3 linked regions of the Arabidopsis thaliana genome follow. Changing the gene in region 3 together with the main gene of any one other region gives a genetic interaction. Each region holds a gene or a part of one and is shown on either strand. Other genes may lie near its edges.

Region 1 (6,846 bases), on a different chromosome or scaffold from region 3:
AATGCAATCTCTTACCTTAACTCGGTACCCAACTCCAATTTCCCCGCCAAGACTCAATCTTTACCCGCTAAGACAAATCGCAGCTTCTGTTCTCTCTGCTCCGACCGCCGGTATTAACCGTCGCGATATGGCGTCTCGCCATCAGTCAACTTCCTTTAAGCCCCTTGCCGTTGGTCGGAATTTGACCGGAGATGATGATGATGGTTACTGTACTCTTATAGACTTTGCAGGTAACAAACTGCTCTGTCTGAACGAACTTAGCACTGTCTCGATAATTCAAGTTAATGTGTTGTCTGTCATCCATTGTCAATCTATGTCCGAAAATCCGTAACTTTAGTGGAAATACCCTGAATTTAGCATCTAAAATGTGCTTAATTGAGTAAGACAAATCTTGGAAACTCTCTTAGACGAACAATGGTTGGGTTTTGACTTTTGACGGTTCCTCTGTATAAGCAGTTTGATTGAAGTCTTAAATTTATTATTATTTTAAGTTGTTCTATGAAATTTTCTGATAGGTAGTGGAGGAGGAGAAGGGAAAAATGTAGGAGAGGATCTTGTGGTGTTGCTTTACCACTTACAACATGCTTGCAAAAGAATCGCTTCTCTTGTCGCCTCTCCTTTCAATTCTTCACTCGGAAAGCTCTCTGTTAACTCCTCTAGTGGGTCAGACCGAGATGCGCCTAAGCCGCTCGATATTGTCTCGGTCTGTATCTTATTACTCTCTTTTTTATCATGATTCATATCAAGATTCAATCTTACAATTCATGTTTCCGTTTTGCAGAACGATATCGTCTTGTCCTCTCTTAGAAACTCAGGGAAAGTAGCAGTAATGGCTTCTGAAGAAAACGATAGTCCAACTTGGATCAAAGATGATGGTCCTTACGTTGTGGTTGTAGATCCTCTAGATGGATCACGGAACATCGATGCTTCGATTCCCACGGGAACTATATTTGGAATTTACAATCGTCTCGTTGAGCTTGATCATTTACCTGTTGAAGAGAAAGCTGAGCTCAATTCTTTGCAGAGAGGCAGCAGGCTTGTAGCTTCCGGTTATGTGCTATACTCTTCAGCCACTATCTTCTGTGTTACACTTGGATCGGGAACACACGCCTTCACGCTAGACCATTCCACAGGAGAATTTGTTCTTACCCATCAAAACATCAAGATCCCAACTCGGGGTAAAAAGCGTCTAATGACACATATGACTTGATCCATTGCGACATTCCTATTCATGGCTCTGAACAACCTGCATTAATCGTTGTTTTTTGTATGATCAACAATAGGACAAATCTACTCAGTGAACGATGCGAGGTACTTTGATTGGCCAGAAGGTTTAAGGAAGTACATTGACACAGTGAGACAAGGCAAAGGTCAAAACCCGAAAAAATACTCTGCGCGTTATATTTGTTCTCTAGTAGCTGATCTTCACAGGACTCTCTTATACGGTGGAGTGGCTATGAATCCAAGAGACCATCTTCGTTTAGTCTATGAAGGTAACCCTTTGGCTTTTCTCGTGGAGCAAGCTGGTGGCAAATCCTCTGATGGAAAAAGAGGGATACTTTCGATACAACCCGTGAAGCTTCACCAAAGATTGCCTCTGTTTCTTGGGAGCTTAGAGGATGTTGCTGAGCTAGAGAGCTATGGAGATGTGCAGCAGACTGTGAACCCTGGCTATGAAGTTTAAACAACTCCTCTGTTTCATATTATCTGTAAAAACAATAAATGAATCGATGTTAGATTTGGTTGCTTGTAACATTATGTATTAGGAAAGTTAGATCCGTGTATATATCTGTTTATCAAGATTCAAGATCGACTGGTATAATCACAATTCACAAGTTTATTATGTTTCTTTATCAGAAGCAATCTTTCTTCGATTTCTAACACAGTCCCACTCCCATAAATTGGTTGTTAGATTTCGGTTAAGTTTAGTAAGAATTTTTAAAATCGGTACGGTATGGTTTGCCGTTAAATAATAAATATATAATGCGGATATTTGGCGCAAGTTAGCAACTTAGCGTTAAAGACCACCAAAGACTTCTCTCAAGTCCTCTGCGCCGGAAACCGCCGTGACGAGATTGGAGAGGGAGAGAGAGGAGAGATAATGGAGCGAAATAGCGTTAAATTTCATGCAGAGAAGAGATCCGGAGCGTTTGATCCAGGTTCAGGATTCGGATCTTCCAAGAGGGTCAAAACGCATCACACGCAGCTGCTCTCAGCTCTGGTTGTGCCGGTGGGACACGCGGCGTTTAGATTGCTCTGCCCTTTATCACACGTCGGTGCGGTGATTGGAAAATCTGGAAACGTAATCAAACAGCTCCAACAATCAACCGGAGCTAAGATACGGGTCGAGGAGCCTCCGTCTGGGTCTCCGGATCGGGTCATCACGATAATCGCACAAGCAGATTCGAAATCAAGGGTGAAATTGGGTGCTAATAACAATGGCAATGCAGAAGGAGAGAAAAAGGAGGAGGAAGTTGAGGTATCTAAAGCACAAGGAGCGTTGATTAAGGTATTCGAGCTTTTAGCGGCGGAAGCTGATAGTGATACGGTCGTGTGCCGATTGTTGACGGAGTCTAGCCATGCCGGTGCTGTGATAGGCAAAGGTGGTCAAATGGTTGGGAGTATTAGGAAAGAAACTGGCTGCAAAATTTCTATACGGATTGAGAATTTGCCGATTTGCGCTGATACTGATGACGAGATGGTGGAGGTACGAATTCTAATTGATACTAAATTTAGAAACTATGAATATCTCTTTGGAGAAAATGTTTTGAGCTGAAACGTTGGTTTAGCACTCTATAGATGCTTGTTTTTTTGCAGATTGTAATGTATTGGTTTTCATATTGAACTATGGCAGGTTGAAGGAAATGCTATCGCTGTAAAGAAAGCTCTTGTGTCTATCTCCCGCTGCTTGCAAAATTGTCAATCGATTGACAAGGTAAGGATGGTTGGAAACAGACCTCTCGAAAAAGAGTTCCAAGCATCTTTGCATAGGCCTATAGAGACAATAATTCAGGAGTCACTTCCTAGGTCCGTTGAAGTTAACCCTTACGATTATAGGCTGAGAAACGACGAGATATTTCCCCGGGGCACTGTAGCTCGGGCTAATGATGTGATTCCTCATGATACTTTGCATCTTAGGCGTATCGAGGCGGTTCCCCAGGGTGCTTTACGCATGCATATTGAGGCAGACCGGCAAGATGTTTTACGCAGGCATGTTGAGGCGGACCGGCAAGATGCTTTACGCAGGCGTATTGATGTAGTTCCTCAAGAAACGTTATACATGCCTTCTGATGTTCTCAGGGGAGATTGTTTTCGACAGCATAGAGAGAGGGATGATTCTCATGATTCCTTGCATAGACCTTTCGAAATGGTTCCACGTGATGCTATGGGCATGCCTTTTGAGTCGTTTCCACGTGATGCTTACGGAAGGCCTATTGAAACAATGACACAAGAAACTCTTCGTGGGCAAAGTGCAGATTATCTTGCACATCGTTATTCGACTTTAGACACACATCCTCACAGCTTCACTACGTCTGCTTCAATGGCTAACACTGCCACCATGAAGCCACCTCCATCAGAAGTGGAAGTAGGGAACCAAGATGTGGTTTTTAAGATACTTTGTTCCACTGAGAATGCTGGCGGAGTTATCGGGACTGGAGGTAAAGTTGTCAGGATGCTTCATAGCGAAACAGGTGCCTTCATAAATGTGGGAAATACACTTGATGATTGTGAAGAACGTCTGATTGCAGTAACTGCATCAGAGGTTGGTGTTTTCTATTTCTTCCCATTTTCATGGATGCTTATGCAGTACTGTTCCATCTATTTACTATCCTTGGTTGATAATTGTTGCTTGTTCATCATGTAGAACCCTGAATGTCAAAGCTCGCCAGCCCAGAAAGCGATTATGCTTATTTTTTCAAGATTATTTGAGCTTGCCACTAACAAAATCCTAGATAATGGCCCAAGGTCATCTATCACTGCACGGCTTGTTGTCCCAACAAGTCAGATTGGTTGTGTGCTGGGAAAAGGAGGTGTTATTGTTTCGGAAATGCGGAAAACCACTGGGGCTGCAATTCAAATTTTGAAGGTTGAGCAGAACCCAAAATGTATTTCAGAGAATGATCAAGTTGTGCAGGTACTTAGATCATTTGTTGACCTTATGGTTATGGTACATATTCCACGTGACAATCTCTCATCTGATTTGTGAGCATAATTTGGAATTAGCATGCTAAATGTTAGTGGTTTGCTTTTCATTACCGAATCCTGTGTTGGTCTCTATTCACCTTGCACACTTGTCAAAAGTTGGTGGTGTTTTAGTTATTGCTACATTCTGAAAGAAATTGAAAGATTCATGCAAACAGAGAGTTAAAAAGATCATTTACTGTAAACTTGGTTGAGAGATTAACTCGGTCATATTGTAAGCTCCATTGTTCCTTAAGTTGTCTGGCATAAACTAATTCTTTACTGGCCAATAGATTACAGGAGAGTTCCCTAATGTGAGAGAAGCCATTTTCCATATTACAAGCAGGCTGCGAGACAGTGTTTTCTCCAACTCAATGAAAAATTCCTTAGCCAAGAGCAGCTCCGCCTTAACTACTGAGAGATTCTACGACAGACAATCAGACAATCCTCTGTCTATTGGGTCTCATCAATCCGTTAGTAATCCAGCTACCAACTCCTCAAGTCTGCACAGAAGATCTGAGGATTCCTTTTTAAGTGGGTCTCATTCATCAGTTAACTATTCCAGATCAGTTGGCACAGATCCTTACATAAGACCAGAAGACCCATTTCCTGATAGGTTTAATCCCTCAGCAGGCTATTCTCATAATTTTGGTCGGCGGTTTACCATGGACCACAGTGATAACTCCCATCACTTAACTGAGGCCCCATCTCGTTTGTGGGCGTCCCCGGTATGTCTCCATCTCTCTGTATTCTCCCATCCTCCCCTTTCTGCTGTACATAAGTACTTGTTGATACTCCCATTCTTCCTCTACACATTCAGATTTTGAACATTTGTGCTTCTATCTAACTTCTGTAGCTGATAGACATAGTTTTTATGTAGCCTCCAGCAGCTCCAAGAGGCTTATCTGATGCCAGTGGCGGATTATCTTCTGCAAGGGCTGGCCATGTACTTGGCAGGTAAAAGCACTACAATTATAGACAGTTATGTGAGATAATTACTCTGATCTTTGTGTAGTTTACATGCTCGCTTGGTCTTTTCTAGTGGACACAAATCTGCCATCGTTACAAACACTACCGTGGAAATTAGAGTTCCAGCTAATGCTATGAGCTTTGTGTATGGAGAGCAGGGTTACAATCTGGAACAACTGAGACAGGTAAGCCATTTTTTGTTTACAAATCTTTTATTGGTTTTCCCCATAGCGTCATCCAAAAGAGGTTAGGCCATGATTAATTGCTCCACAAGAGCAGCCATAGGTTTTGGTTTCCATTGGCTGCTCTTATACGTAAGTGAACTCTAGGGTTACTAAAAACGGAAGTGAACTCTAGGGTTACTAAAAAGAAAGCATGAGAAAATAAAATTCATATACGTAAAGTCTTATACATGGTGCAAACAATCGTGCTACCATTAATCTAAGTCAATAGGAGTCTAGGACTATTCTCAACGATGTATAACTTTACTCAAAAAAAACTGTTTTAAGTCACGAAAACTCCATCTTCGTTGAAGTACTCAACGTTTGTTCCATTATTCAGTGTTACAGTCGTTGTTTAAAAACAGAATTTTCATCTAGCCCCATCAGTCTGAAATAATCATCTACAGACCAAATAATTAGTGTCATAAAGATGAAGTAGCACCCCGTTGGTTGACTTAAACGGCTTAAGCATAGCTTATACCATTTGATGCTTGTTTACTCAGATATCGGGTGCAAGGGTCATAATCCATGAACCTCCTCTAGGAACAAGTGACAGGATCATTGTCATATCTGGAACACCTGATCAAACCCAGGCTGCCCAAAACCTTCTTCATGCCTTCATCCTTACAGGTGAAACCTCATTGTCCAAAAAATACAACCTAAACTAGAACCACACACTTATAACCATACAGAAAACAAAAAAAAGGAAACGAGCTCTCACATGTTTCTTGTCCCTTTTATTTAATCTCCCTTTTTTTTTGTTGATTTGGATCTTTTGAACTCTTGTACAATATCTTTTTCGTTTTAAGTACTTTGAAGGAATCAGTTTGATGTCTTGCCTAAAATTTTCTTCTTTTATCCCACATTATTACGCATGGAACTGAGATTTGATTGACAGTATATAGAGGGACAGTCATTGTCATAAAATGTTCGGTACTAGATGTTTACAAAAGGAAAACTTGATAACAACGGGTCAATATGTTGGCTGCTTTGGATTGCTAAAACCTGCTTGCACAATTTCTTTGTAGACTGCCTTTTTTCCAGCTTTTGTCACCTTCTTTAGCTATGAAAATCAAATGGTAGAAAATTTATAGGAATTTTACTCTATAAGTTCCAGAATCAAAGTTGTTTGACAAAAAAAAAAGAAAAAAAAAAAAAAAAAAAGTTCCAAAATCAAAGCCTGAAAATTGTTACCGTCAACAGAGTTTCACTGATGGTTTTGTAAACCCCTTCATTTTATAGCTTTCACAATCTCAGAACATTTGTTCTTTCTGTAGCAAAACTACACTACAAACTTTATCAGAGATTCTATACACATTTGATATACCATACTCGCTATCAGTAATCAAATCAATAGTAATGCAAAATTAAGATTCATGCGTAAAAATAGTGCAAAAGCGAAAAAAACTATGAAATTTGAGTCTATAGAAGAGGGTCTTGCGAGGTTGAATAATATTCGTATATATTTGTACAT
Region 2 (6,339 bases), on a different chromosome or scaffold from region 3:
GGACTACTAGTGAAGGATCCACACAGAAGGATCGCTTACACGAGGGGGGCCACAGAGATAAAGCAACACCCTTTCTTTGAAGGAGTGAATTGGGCTCTAGTTCGTAGTGCTGCCCCACCTCACATTCCAGACCCCGTGGACTTGGGACCGTACGCGGCCGCTAGAGGTAAGACCAAGAGCCATGGAGGTGGTGATCACTGTAACTCAATGAAGCCGGAGCCTCTGGTCGCCTGTGCTGCTGGTCCCACGGATGATACGGCGTATATAGATTTCGAGTACTTTTAGACTTAAAACTCCACAAGCTGAAAGTTTCGATATGTTTGTTTTTGTTCATATTCTTTAATTTTGGCGAATACAAATTGTGATTTATAAAAGAAGAACAGATGACTTGGTTTAAGAGACTAAAAGAGTTTTACTAAAAGAGTTAAAGCAGATTTTGTGTGTGAGATAACAATTTGTCAATGAAAAAATCCACAAAAGCTTCTCTGAGTCAATTAAAATGTCCTAAGAGACAACACTCTTCTCGACATAACAGAGCGTCAGAACCATTGGTTCCAAATTTCTCGCTGCCTTATTCTTATCGTCATCCTCCGACCAAAGTTCCATCTTCTGCACAGAGATGTTGATGAAGCACTGTTTTGTGTCTCATAACGCCAATGATCTCTGTTTCTCTTTCTCCAACTCCAAATTCAATCTTGCAAGCTGCCCAAAGAAGCCACCTCGTCTCACCTGCGTTGTCAATGTTGGATTCCAAGATATCGCTGAGGTCATCCACAACAAGGTTTCGCCTTTTTCTCTTCTTTCATTCCTTTTTTTGGAGGGTCATCGTCACTTAGGCTTTTGATTTCACCGGCGTGAAGGTACTCATAGCTGCTGGGACTTCTGCTGTGATTGGGCAGCTCTCAAAGCCATTCACTTCTGTCGTTTTGTATGGGAAAAATCTGGACTTTAGAAGTGTCTTTCAAGCTGGAGGTTTCCCTTCAACACATTCTTCTGTAAGCTTATCCTTTTTTTATTCTTGTTTCCTCTGGTAATATTGTTTGTCTACTTCTCTGACATTTTGGCCTAATTCTTGAGAAACCAGTCTGTTGTGGCTGCAGCAACTGCTATTGCTTTTGAAAGGTGATTAGCCTGAACCTTTCTCTTCTCAATTCCCCTAAATATACTCAGCTTATGCAATTTCCTGAATATGGTTTGGCTTCAGGGGATTTGCTGACTCCATTTTTGGTCTAACTGTGGTTTATGCTGGCCTTATCATGTATGATGCCCAGGTAAAATAGTCTATAGAGAAAAGCTTAGGCTGGCTTTTGTTCAATAGGTCTTTGTTGGTTATTCTCAAATTCTCAATGTCTGATTCTAGTGTTATCTTAATGTCTCACTGATTGTAACATTGCAGGGGGTGAGGAGAGAAGTTGGAAAACATGCCAAAGTGTTGAACAAACTAACAGCTAATGCTCGTAGAAGTGAAGTAATGAGTTTAAAGGGCAACGAATCTAACAAAGCTTTGACATCAGAAGAGATCAGTGAGGAGATTGCTCCTCCATTGAAAGAATCAATAGGACACACTGAAGTTGAAGTCATAGCAGGGGCTTTGTTCGGTTTCTTAGTTACCCTCAGTGTTTATTCCCTGATGTAAAAAAGCTCCCAACTTTATAAAAACTATATATTTTTTGTGTTGATAAGAAAGAAAGAGAATTTAATAATGTGCAAACTGCAATAAAACAGAGAATCAGTGGTAATGTCAAATCAAGTTTTATGGATCTGAGAATTTTTGTTCTGTTTGAGTTGGTTGTAAACCCCACAAACACAACAATTTTGATAATTTGTTTGACACCAAAAAAGTAGAAAGCTTTTTCCTTTAGGGTTTCCTTTTTCGATCGAATGGCACATCGTCAATTGTATAGCTACGCCCTTCAACCTTCTTATGCTGCTGCTGCCTCCACCGTATCTCCAGCTCCTCCTCCGCCGCAACAACCACTGCCGCCAAAAACCGGTCTTTCTTCTCTCTACGGTTCTTCTGCTGACCATTACTTTCCGGATACCACGTATCGTTTCTTAGCTCGTGATGGATCCGAAGCTTTGAGCAACTATTCAGGGACTCTTGCATCGTCTTCCTCTATGTACCATCATTTGCCTAACACGACGGCATCGCATTTGGCGTATCCTCAGCTGCTTCAGCATCAGGAAGTTGCTTGGCCACCTGGTGTGGAGGTTCCCGGTGCTGCTTCCGCCGTCGAGCCACTTCCTCCTGGTGTCAAACGCACCTCTGAAGGTAGGCTCTTTGTTTACCTTACTATTTATGGGATCTGCATCATTTTCTTATTTATTGCTTGGAGAACTATGCCGCATAACTTGAAAAGTTAAAGACTTCAGCTTTCCCTTTTCTCTGCTCATCGTGATACTCTAGTTCTGTAGCGGAAATTAGTGTTTTTGATGGTTTGTTTCTTCAATTGCAGCATAAAAAACTCAGCTTTAGTCATGGTCTCTAGCCTGATTCTTTCTAGGATAGATTTTAATTTACATTTGCTCAAGCACAATGATGTTGGTTTGTATTCCTCTGTGCTTTCTCGTTAGCTGAAATAGAGGTTGGATTGGTTTGGCCAATTGCTTTGTTTTGAGTCTGGACAACGCGAAGCTTGACAGTTAGAATCATCTTTCAGGAGATGCTTAGGGATTGCATCTATAAACTATATAGCTTATGGTAGTGTTCTTGATTAAGTCTTTGTTGCTTTAGGATTGCCTAACGATAATTGTTTTTAGTTTTGACCTTAATGTTTATTGGAACACTTGGTGATTTTGCAGAATTGATTGATGATTTATGTTTTGTTGTAACTCTATGGTTTCCAATAGATTTTCAGACATGATTGTATGTAAGCCAGAATTTCTTACTGTAAGTTTAACTAAAGATACAATTGATTATTGATGCTATATCTTGGTTTTTGCTATAGTATCTCCCAAATTTATTTTCAAATTATACTTATAGTCAGTATATATCTTCTCATTTCGTTGTATATTATTGTTTATTATGTAATTTAGCGCTCTACTATCCGACTCTGTTGGGTGCCCATAATACAATTGGTCAAACCGAAGCTTGGTATACTACAGACTATTTTACCAAGCGCCCTAAGTTGGAGAGTACAAGCCATTTGCCTATATATCCACAGAGGGCAGGAGAGAAAGATTGTACCCACTATATGCAAACAAGAACATGTAAATTTGGAGAAAGCTGCAGGTTTGATCATCCTATTTGGGTTCCTGAGGGCGGAATCCCAGATTGGAAAGAGGTGATCGTTTACTACTATCTAAGTATTTCTTATGCCCTCATATGATTTTTACATTATTATGATAACGTTTTTCTATATTCTGTTATGTACTTATATGTTTTATACTGTGGGAGTTTGTGCCTAATTACTTTGTAACTATATATATTGTTTTTGTTTGGTATACGAGGTTATAGAATTACTACATTATCATGATAGTGTAGGTATAGGTATGACAAATGGTATCTTATTGTTATTCAAGATTTGAGCTTCCCGACTTCTGCAACCGTGTTTGTTATCCTTGCTTTTCCCTTTGTCAGATCATTCCTTGACTTGGAAGAGACATCATACTCATTGTCTAGGCATTACATGATAAAATGATATGATTGTTTTTGCTTATGAATATCTTTTCATTCAGGCACCAGTTGTTCCAAATGAAGAGTATCCTGAGAGACCAGGAGAACCAGATTGTCCTGTAAGCTGTTCGTGAAAACTTTTCGAGCTATTTTATTTCTGTTTCGCCTGAAGACCTGAGACTATCTTTCTTTTATTTTCACTGTTATCCAGTACTATATAAAAACACAACGCTGCAAATATGGTTCAAAGTGCAAATTTAATCATCCAAGAGAAGAGGCTGCAGTAAGTGAATTTTCCTTTTCCAAATAAAATTATCCCTCGGGTTGTGTATTTGCCTGCAGACACTCGCATAAAATCTTGTGCTTGTAATATGTACTGCTTTAGTTTTTTCTTGGGCTGTGCATGCACCTAGAAGCTTGATGCTCTTCTTTATTTCAGGTTAGTGTTGAAACTCAAGATTCATTGCCTGAGAGGCCTTCTGAACCTATGTGCACAGTAAGATATAAACATAATTGATTGACCTATCCTATTTTTATAAATGCTCTTACATATGAAACTAATATCGATTATTAATTTGGCATTTCTACTCTGCATCAGTTCTACATGAAGACTGGAAAATGTAAATTTGGTTTGTCATGCAAATTCCACCATCCAAAGGATATCCAGCTACCATCATCGAGTCAAGATATTGGTAGCAGTGTGGGGTTAACCAGTGAGCCTGATGCCACAAACAATCCGCATGTCACATTTACCCCAGCATTGTATCACAACTCAAAAGGACTACCTGTTAGATCGGTAATGAATTCATCTTCACTTTGCATAAGACTGACTTATAATCATATAGGCACAATTTGTGACTTTCTACTATCTTATTGGCACTATACTTAGAACTGATTATGGTTTGCTAGCATTGTATGCTGACCTGTTCTGACGTCTGAGAATGAAGTTTCACTAATTAGATTGTAGCTTTTTCAGGGTGAAGTGGACTGCCCATTCTATCTCAAAACGGGAAGGTGAATATCTCTTGTATAATACTATTTTGTTGTTTAGAACATTGAAACAAAGAACGTGACATTAACGTTCTAACTTGTTTTCCTTTTCCATAATCAGCTGCAAGTATGGAGCCACTTGTCGCTACAATCATCCTGAGAGGACTGGTTTGTGATCATGCCAAAATTTTGTGGTTTTTAGAACCTTTAACGTATTACTTTTATCCCTAAATTCTCATAATGTGCGATGTTTTGATTCTGTGCACAGCATTCATTCCCCAAGCTGCTGGGGTAAACTATTCTCTAGTTTCATCGAACACTGCGAATTTGAACCTTGGGCTGGTTACACCAGCTACCTCTTTCTATCAGACTCTTACTCAACCCACGGTAAAAGCCTTTATTCATGTTGTGAGAAATATTCAAGAGCGCTTCTTTAGTTGATAGGGGTTTAATTAGAGTGGAAATTGTTTCAGCTTGGAGTGATTTCAGCAACTTATCCCCAAAGACCTGGACAATCAGAATGTGACGTTAGTATCCTTGTTTCTTTTAGAGATTGCTGAGCTTTTTCTCCCACATGTTAGTTGAAATTTTATACCAAAAGCTCTGTCTTTCAATATTACAGTACTACATGAAGACAGGGGAGTGCAAGTTTGGAGAGAGATGCAAATTCCATCACCCAGCAGATAGGTTAAGTGCAATGACCAAACAAGCTCCTCAACAACCAAATGTAAAGCTGAGTCTTGCAGGGTATCCCAGAAGAGAGGTACCTATAAAGTGGTATTATTAGAAGCCTGCATGTTGTGAGTTTGTGTGGTAATCTCATAGACAAAACAAAAACTGTTGCAGGGTGCGCTTAATTGCCCTTATTACATGAAGACAGGAACTTGCAAATACGGGGCAACATGCAAGTTTGACCATCCTCCTCCAGGTGAGGTGATGGCTAAGACCACTTCAGAAGCCGATGCTGCTGGAGCAACCAACACCGACACTACTCAATGAGTTTCCCAGCTTTGTGTAACATAAGATGATATCTTGTTGTAATCCTAGTTTACTTCCTATGTACTGCATCTGTTTCGTTTCGAAATGCTTATCGCTCGTGAGTTCTCTACTTCTCTTTATCATCCTAAAACAAAAAAGATATCGTTGAGTGAGTCTTCTTTTACTCAGTTGAGCTCATAAAAGCAAAATTGTTCATCACCACTCTTCTCTCCTCAATGATCCAATTGAGCATTTATCTGCCGTTGATTCGGTTCTCTTGGATAAATATCGTTTCCATTGTGATTTTGTTTATAGCAATTGTCAGTAAACTCCAACTAATCTCCACAATAAGATGAAACAACACGTAACAACAAGATGTGACAGAGTGACGACAGAGAGCCAGTGCATGAAACATGCTTCTTCAGCAAGACACATGTCGGTGCTAACTGCTAAATCAAAAGTGGGTCCAATGTTTTGTTCTTAAGAGTCGAAGAAGAGGACATGACATGAGAAACAGAGGCAAAGGAAGAAAACATGGACTAGTTGTCTCCGTGTCTCTGATTTTAAGTTTTGATGAAACATGTGGAAGGCCTCTATTAATGGTATAACGACAAATGATGAAAGTAGCAAAGGAGGACTCAAAAAGTTTGATGCCTTTTTGATTGGATCTTTTAAAAATATGAGCACACTTCCCTATAATACTTCTATAATCCAAAATACTCTTTTGGGCCTATCTTACCAAAATTATGCAAACT
Region 3 (5,070 bases):
ATCAGATGAATATAGGGATGAATATACGTAGTTTTGTCTTTGTCATATACTAGATTATATTCCCACCAGTCATTTTCCTATGTATTTAACAAGACAAGACGTAGAAAAATGAGAATTTTAGTACTTGAGTTAACATATTTAAAGATTATATTCCCATCAGTCATTGAACATATGTGTACATATATATACGAGGAGAATCTATAACTTAGTAAGGAGGGAAATATGAGATTTTATTTCTATAGAGAAAAGAAAGGATAAAACCTCTCTCTGCCAACACTGGCCACCGTCTCCAAAGTCCATCCCAGTTAATTTTTATTTTTTGGAATCTTCTTATGTTATTACTCTTTCTTTTCTTATGACAACATGTCAACATGTGACCTGTCGTCTTCTACTTTCTTTTCTTCAGCTTTTCTCCTTTTAAGCAGAATATTCAATCTATCTTCAAATTCATATCTGAGTTTTGTACTATAAAAGAAAAGCAGACATTAAAAAAGATTTGAATATAAAACAAATGTATTGGAGTGGTAAAGCACATCTTCATCAAACATTTTTAAGGAGCATCAATCTAATTGGTCGATGGAAATGGAAGTAAAGGAATAGAAGATTGTTTGTGTTCCATGATGATGTATATATATGCCTAATTAATGTTACTGTTAGTTACCTTTGGATAACAAAGATATTTAAAGCGGTTTAATGCTTATTAACGGTTGATGGATGTTACCTTTTCTTTTTGACATCACGGTAGATGTTACCTTTCATAGGTGTTGAATAGACAGATTGGGGACGTTAATTAGTAATGATGTAATTAGTTAGAGCTAAATAGTGCTAATAAATATATGTAAGAAATTGTTCGGAAAGTAACTAAAAAAAGTTCAATTCATGCAAGTAGACACTTCAAATGTGATAAATGTATAAGTATGATGTTAAGCATGTGACCCTTGAGAGTCGATTAGGGCACTGTACAAGATTGACCCAAATAGTTACAAACTACAAGTGAACTCTCTTCCATTACATATCTACGTGTATTGAGGGGACCATTATCGTACGTATACACGTATATATGTTTTGCCCTAAATTCCCAATTTTAATTCAGCATGGGGGACGGACTCATTCAATAGCATCGTCTTTCACTTTCCTTCTTCGGTTTAAAATCTCATTTTAGTTTCTGATCCAAAAAAAAATGTTTGATCAAAGATCAAAAACTTAGATAGAAACAAACTGTTTTTTTTTCTTAAATCAAGAAAGTCTAAAAAACTAAGATACAAAAAGGGACTCGCAGCGGCAGAGAGATAAGTATCTTACGGGCCAGCAGATAATTTCTATGTTACGTCCCTTTCATCCCCATTGCATATTGCATATGAAGACAACGGATATTAACTAAAATCTTCCAAAATTACGGTATAATGAATAATAATACACTTCTGTCTCATATAGTATTCTATTATATTGTTCGAAAATGTTCTTATTTACATATCTATTTATATTGTTAATTGATTGCGGCTATTACTGTGGATATTCATCGTAACTATTTTAATCAATACAAATCATGCAAAATAGTGAATGACTTAGAAAAGTTGAAACCACATATGATTGAGTTTAGGGGGAAAAGTATAAAAGAAAGCATGACTAGTATGTTACTATGTAGTAAGCTTCAAACATATATTTAAGAAAATACTATATATAGATACATATGATATAACATAACATTAAAATATATGGTGAAACATTTTTTCTTAATATCCTAAGCTTCAAACATATACCCAAGTAGAGAAGAGTTGGAGTATTCATTCTTTGGTTAAACATAGACCTAATACATAGCTCATATGGACAATTTTTCGACAAAACAAAAATGATAGCAAATGGGCTAAAATGGTTTCATATCGAAAAGCCCAAACCATTAAGCCAAAACGACGTCGTACGATATGACAGCGGCGATTCCTATAACCACCACCAGAGGTTAAAAAGTCTCTCTCTTTAGCTATCTTTTTTGTGTTACCGGTTCAAATGGCCGCCGTCGCAGATTCCGTTGAGAACAACGGTTCCATAAACCTCCCTGAGAATGAAAACCTTATACCGGCGGGATTCAGTGCCGCCGCATTGCTTGACGAAAACTCTGGCGCTTTCCCTGAATTGAATCAGCCCGATAGCTTAGCTGCTGCTGAGACTACCTTCCCCGATACGAACGATTCCGCGGAGGAGAGGTGGCCAGGTTGGCCTGGTGATTGCGTGTTTCGTATGATCGTTCCGGTGACTAAAGTCGGAGCTATTATTGGACGCAAAGGTGACTTTATAAAGAAGATGTGTGAGGAGACTCGTGCTCGTATCAAAGTCCTTGATGGTCCTGTTAATACTCCCGATCGCATCGTTAGTATCTCTATCTCCTTCTACGTGATTTACTGTGTTCAAAGCTAATTCGAATTTGGGGATTTTTAATTTCTATTTCTAGGGTTTCTTAATCATAAGTAGGAAGATTCTTGAGTTGTGATCATTAAAGTTGTGAACTTTTATCCCCTAGTTGTGCAATTTGATTACTTTATGGTTCCAATTATAGTTTGAAGTGTTCACTAAGTTAATTACTTGCTCAATGTTATGTTTTAGGTGTTAATATCTGGTAAGGAAGAACCAGAGGCCTACATGTCACCGGCAATGGACGCAGTGTTGAGGGTGTTTAGACGTGTTTCAGGGTTGCCTGATAATGATGATGATGATGTTCAAAACGCTGGAAGTGTCTTCTCTTCAGTGCGTTTATTAGTTGCTTCAACGCAGGCGATTAATTTGATTGGAAAACAAGGATCTTTGATTAAGTCTATAGTAGAGAACTCTGGTGCATCAGTTCGTATTTTATCAGAAGGTATTATCTATCATCTGCAGTTTTCTGTTTTTACCTAATTGATCTCTTTGTTTGTGATTGTTAAAGTTTAGTTTTTGCTATTTCAATTCATGTCTGTTTTTTTTTCTAAAATTGGTGTCTTTGTTGCCAGTTTCTTATTTCTCTACTTTTTTCTGCCAGAGGAAACACCGTTTTATGCTGCACAGGATGAGAGGATAGTGGATTTGCAAGGGGAAGCTTTAAAGATTCTTAAAGCATTAGAAGCCATTGTTGGACACCTTAGGAGATTTTTAGTTGACCATACTGTTGTCCCTCTCTTCGAGAAGCAAGTAAGCTTGCTTGTTTCAATCGAGATTATTCCTTTCCCTTTTTTTTCTTTTCTGAATTATTGTTATCTTTTCTTATCTTCAGTATCTAGCTAGGGTCTCTCAAACTCGCCAGGAAGAACCGTTAGCTGAAAGCAAGTCATCTCTGCATACTATTTCGTCAAATCTAATGGAGCCTGATTTCTCCCTCTTAGCACGGAGGGAACCTTTGTTTCTGGAGCGCGATTCTCGGGTGGACTCACGTGTTCAGCCTTCGGGAGTTTCTATCTACAGTCAGGATCCTGTACTGTCTGCCAGACACTCCCCAGGTCTTGCTCGGGTTTCTTCTGCTTTTGTGACACAGGTAGATTCCCTTAAATACAACATCAGCTCCTGAAAACGAGTTTAGCGATATCATCTTACTTGTTATGATTAGTCTTCCAGCAGTGATTTTGATCTTAACACATCTAACTTGTTTCTCTGAACTAGTAGTGACGTTTCTATAATGGATTCTCTTACTAGGTATCTCAAACGATGCAAATACCATTCTCCTATGCAGAGGATATTATTGGTGTAGAAGGAGCTAATATAGCCTATATCCGTCGAAGAAGCGGAGCTACCATAACCATTAAAGAGAGTCCGCATCCTGATCAAATCACAGTGGAAATCAAAGGCACAACTTCTCAAGTACAAACTGCTGAGCAACTAATTCAAGTAAGAACACATTCGATCTGTATATATATATATATACTTTCTGCGACGTGGCATTGTATAAACACTAAGATTATGCTTGCTTTGCATCCTACCCCGCCTGCTTCATCATAACCGTATTCTTTTGTTTACGTGTGTGTAGGAGTTCATCATCAATCACAAGGAACCAGTTTCGGTATCAGGGGGATATGCCAGAATCGACTCTGGATATGTACCTGCATATCCTCCTCAGCTAAGTAACCGTCAAGAGCCGCTCCCGAGCACCTACATGGGCACAGAGCCGGTGCAGTACAGACCAACAGCATACTCTCAGCTGGGGGGTCCTTCTACCTACACACCGACCCTGACTGGGCAAACTTATGGTTCGGAATATAGACCAGCTTCTGATGTTGGTGGCTACAGCAGTTATAATCTTTGAATTGGTTGCTGTGTTTAAGTTTATTTGCAGATTAATTTCTCTTTAGAGAAAGGCTCATTTATAATATAATAGAGAGGGAAAAGGAACAAGTTCTAGAGAGCCAATGTAGTTGTTGGAATGTGTAATGTAAATCTAGGTGCCCTTTTTTTTTTTTTTTTTCATACCTCGATATATGTCACACTACGTTTCTGGTCAAATAAGAACATGTTTTTTCTTTCTTTTTTGTATGAATTTGTTTATCAGAAGTCAGAATGATTCAGTTTTAAGAAATTTTTAGTTAACGTTTTACAACAATAACCTGTAGGAGCTTTTTCTTAATTGAATAAGTTTAAGCTTTCTATTTTGATCTGATGATGCTAATATGAAAGCATTCTCCGAAGAACCAAACCACATGAGACTTTTTGATTTCAATGTCCATTCGTAACTAGTAACGGAAAAGATCAGACAGAAAAAATGTACCAATCATTCCATATTTGTAGTTTTACATGATATAGTAATATTCTCTAGGTGTTTAAGTTGTATATTTCATGATTTTTACACATTTTAAAACCTGATTAAGGCCTGTTTTTAACTTTTTATTTCTTCAAACCGTAAGAAACAATCCTTGCAAGAAACAATCCTTGCTTCTTCTTCTTTTTTTCGTCAAGAAACAATCCTTGCTATATTTTCATTTTTACAGCTTCTTGTTTTTAAGAGAGCAAATATAATAAATAAGGACGGCTGAAAAGAGGTATATGTATCACAAAATTAAACAAAAGAGAATCCACCTATCGACATAGACGTGGTATCCTTTCGATATCGACAGA

What was found. Genes that interact genetically often act in the same process or in processes that back each other up.
Region 1: of PEP (region 3) and HEN4, changing one enhances a phenotype caused by changing the other (phenotypic enhancement), as found in Arabidopsis thaliana (one study listed by BioGRID).
Region 2: of PEP (region 3) and HUA1, changing one enhances a phenotype caused by changing the other (phenotypic enhancement), as found in Arabidopsis thaliana (one study listed by BioGRID).

The regions. Positions count from the first base shown.
Region 1 is NC_003076.8:25,741,341-25,748,186, forward strand, and holds HEN4 (RNA-binding KH domain-containing protein), read left to right. Parts: upstream 1-2,005; 5' UTR 2,006-2,101; coding exon 2,102-2,707; intron 2,708-2,854; coding exon 2,855-3,763; intron 3,764-3,865; coding exon 3,866-4,135; intron 4,136-4,475; coding exon 4,476-4,910; intron 4,911-5,062; coding exon 5,063-5,139; intron 5,140-5,197; coding exon 5,198-5,336; coding exon of another isoform or gene 5,337-5,402; exon of another isoform or gene 5,403-5,875; coding exon 5,876-6,040; 3' UTR 6,041-6,312; downstream 6,313-6,846. Other genes in the region: AT5G64380 (Inositol monophosphatase family protein), read left to right, coding at 2-230, 516-703, 782-1,178, 1,284-1,684. UniProt on the Arabidopsis thaliana protein: Functions in floral reproductive organ identity in the third whorl and floral determinacy specification by specifically promoting the processing of AGAMOUS (AG) pre-mRNA. Functions in association with HUA1 and HUA2.
Region 2 is NC_003074.8:4,024,542-4,030,880, reverse strand, and holds HUA1 (floral homeotic protein (HUA1)), read left to right. Parts: upstream 1-1,740; 5' UTR 1,741-1,881; coding exon 1,882-2,272; intron 2,273-3,036; coding exon 3,037-3,284; intron 3,285-3,678; coding exon 3,679-3,735; intron 3,736-3,827; coding exon 3,828-3,899; intron 3,900-4,055; coding exon 4,056-4,112; intron 4,113-4,214; coding exon 4,215-4,412; intron 4,413-4,592; coding exon 4,593-4,630; intron 4,631-4,727; coding exon 4,728-4,774; intron 4,775-4,874; coding exon 4,875-4,993; intron 4,994-5,079; coding exon 5,080-5,133; intron 5,134-5,228; coding exon 5,229-5,369; intron 5,370-5,452; coding exon 5,453-5,605; 3' UTR 5,606-5,805; downstream 5,806-6,339. Other genes in the region: AGC1.5 (AGC kinase 1.5), read left to right, coding at 1-285; AT3G12685 (Acid phosphatase/vanadium-dependent haloperoxidase-related protein), read left to right, coding at 620-781, 861-995, 1,085-1,122, 1,205-1,271, 1,397-1,636. UniProt on the Arabidopsis thaliana protein: Involved in flower development. Functions in floral reproductive organ identity by binding AGAMOUS (AG) pre-mRNA and promoting its processing. Functions in association with HUA2 and HEN4.
Region 3 is NC_003075.7:13,195,276-13,200,345, forward strand, and holds PEP (RNA-binding KH domain-containing protein), read left to right. Parts: upstream 1-1,793; 5' UTR 1,794-2,004; coding exon 2,005-2,364; intron 2,365-2,598; coding exon 2,599-2,851; intron 2,852-3,010; coding exon 3,011-3,159; intron 3,160-3,241; coding exon 3,242-3,499; intron 3,500-3,657; coding exon 3,658-3,849; intron 3,850-3,988; coding exon 3,989-4,264; 3' UTR 4,265-4,566; downstream 4,567-5,070. UniProt on the Arabidopsis thaliana protein: Regulates vegetative and gynoecium development. In concert with HUA2, antagonizes FLK by positively regulating FLC probably at transcriptional and post-transcriptional levels, and thus acts as a negative regulator of flowering.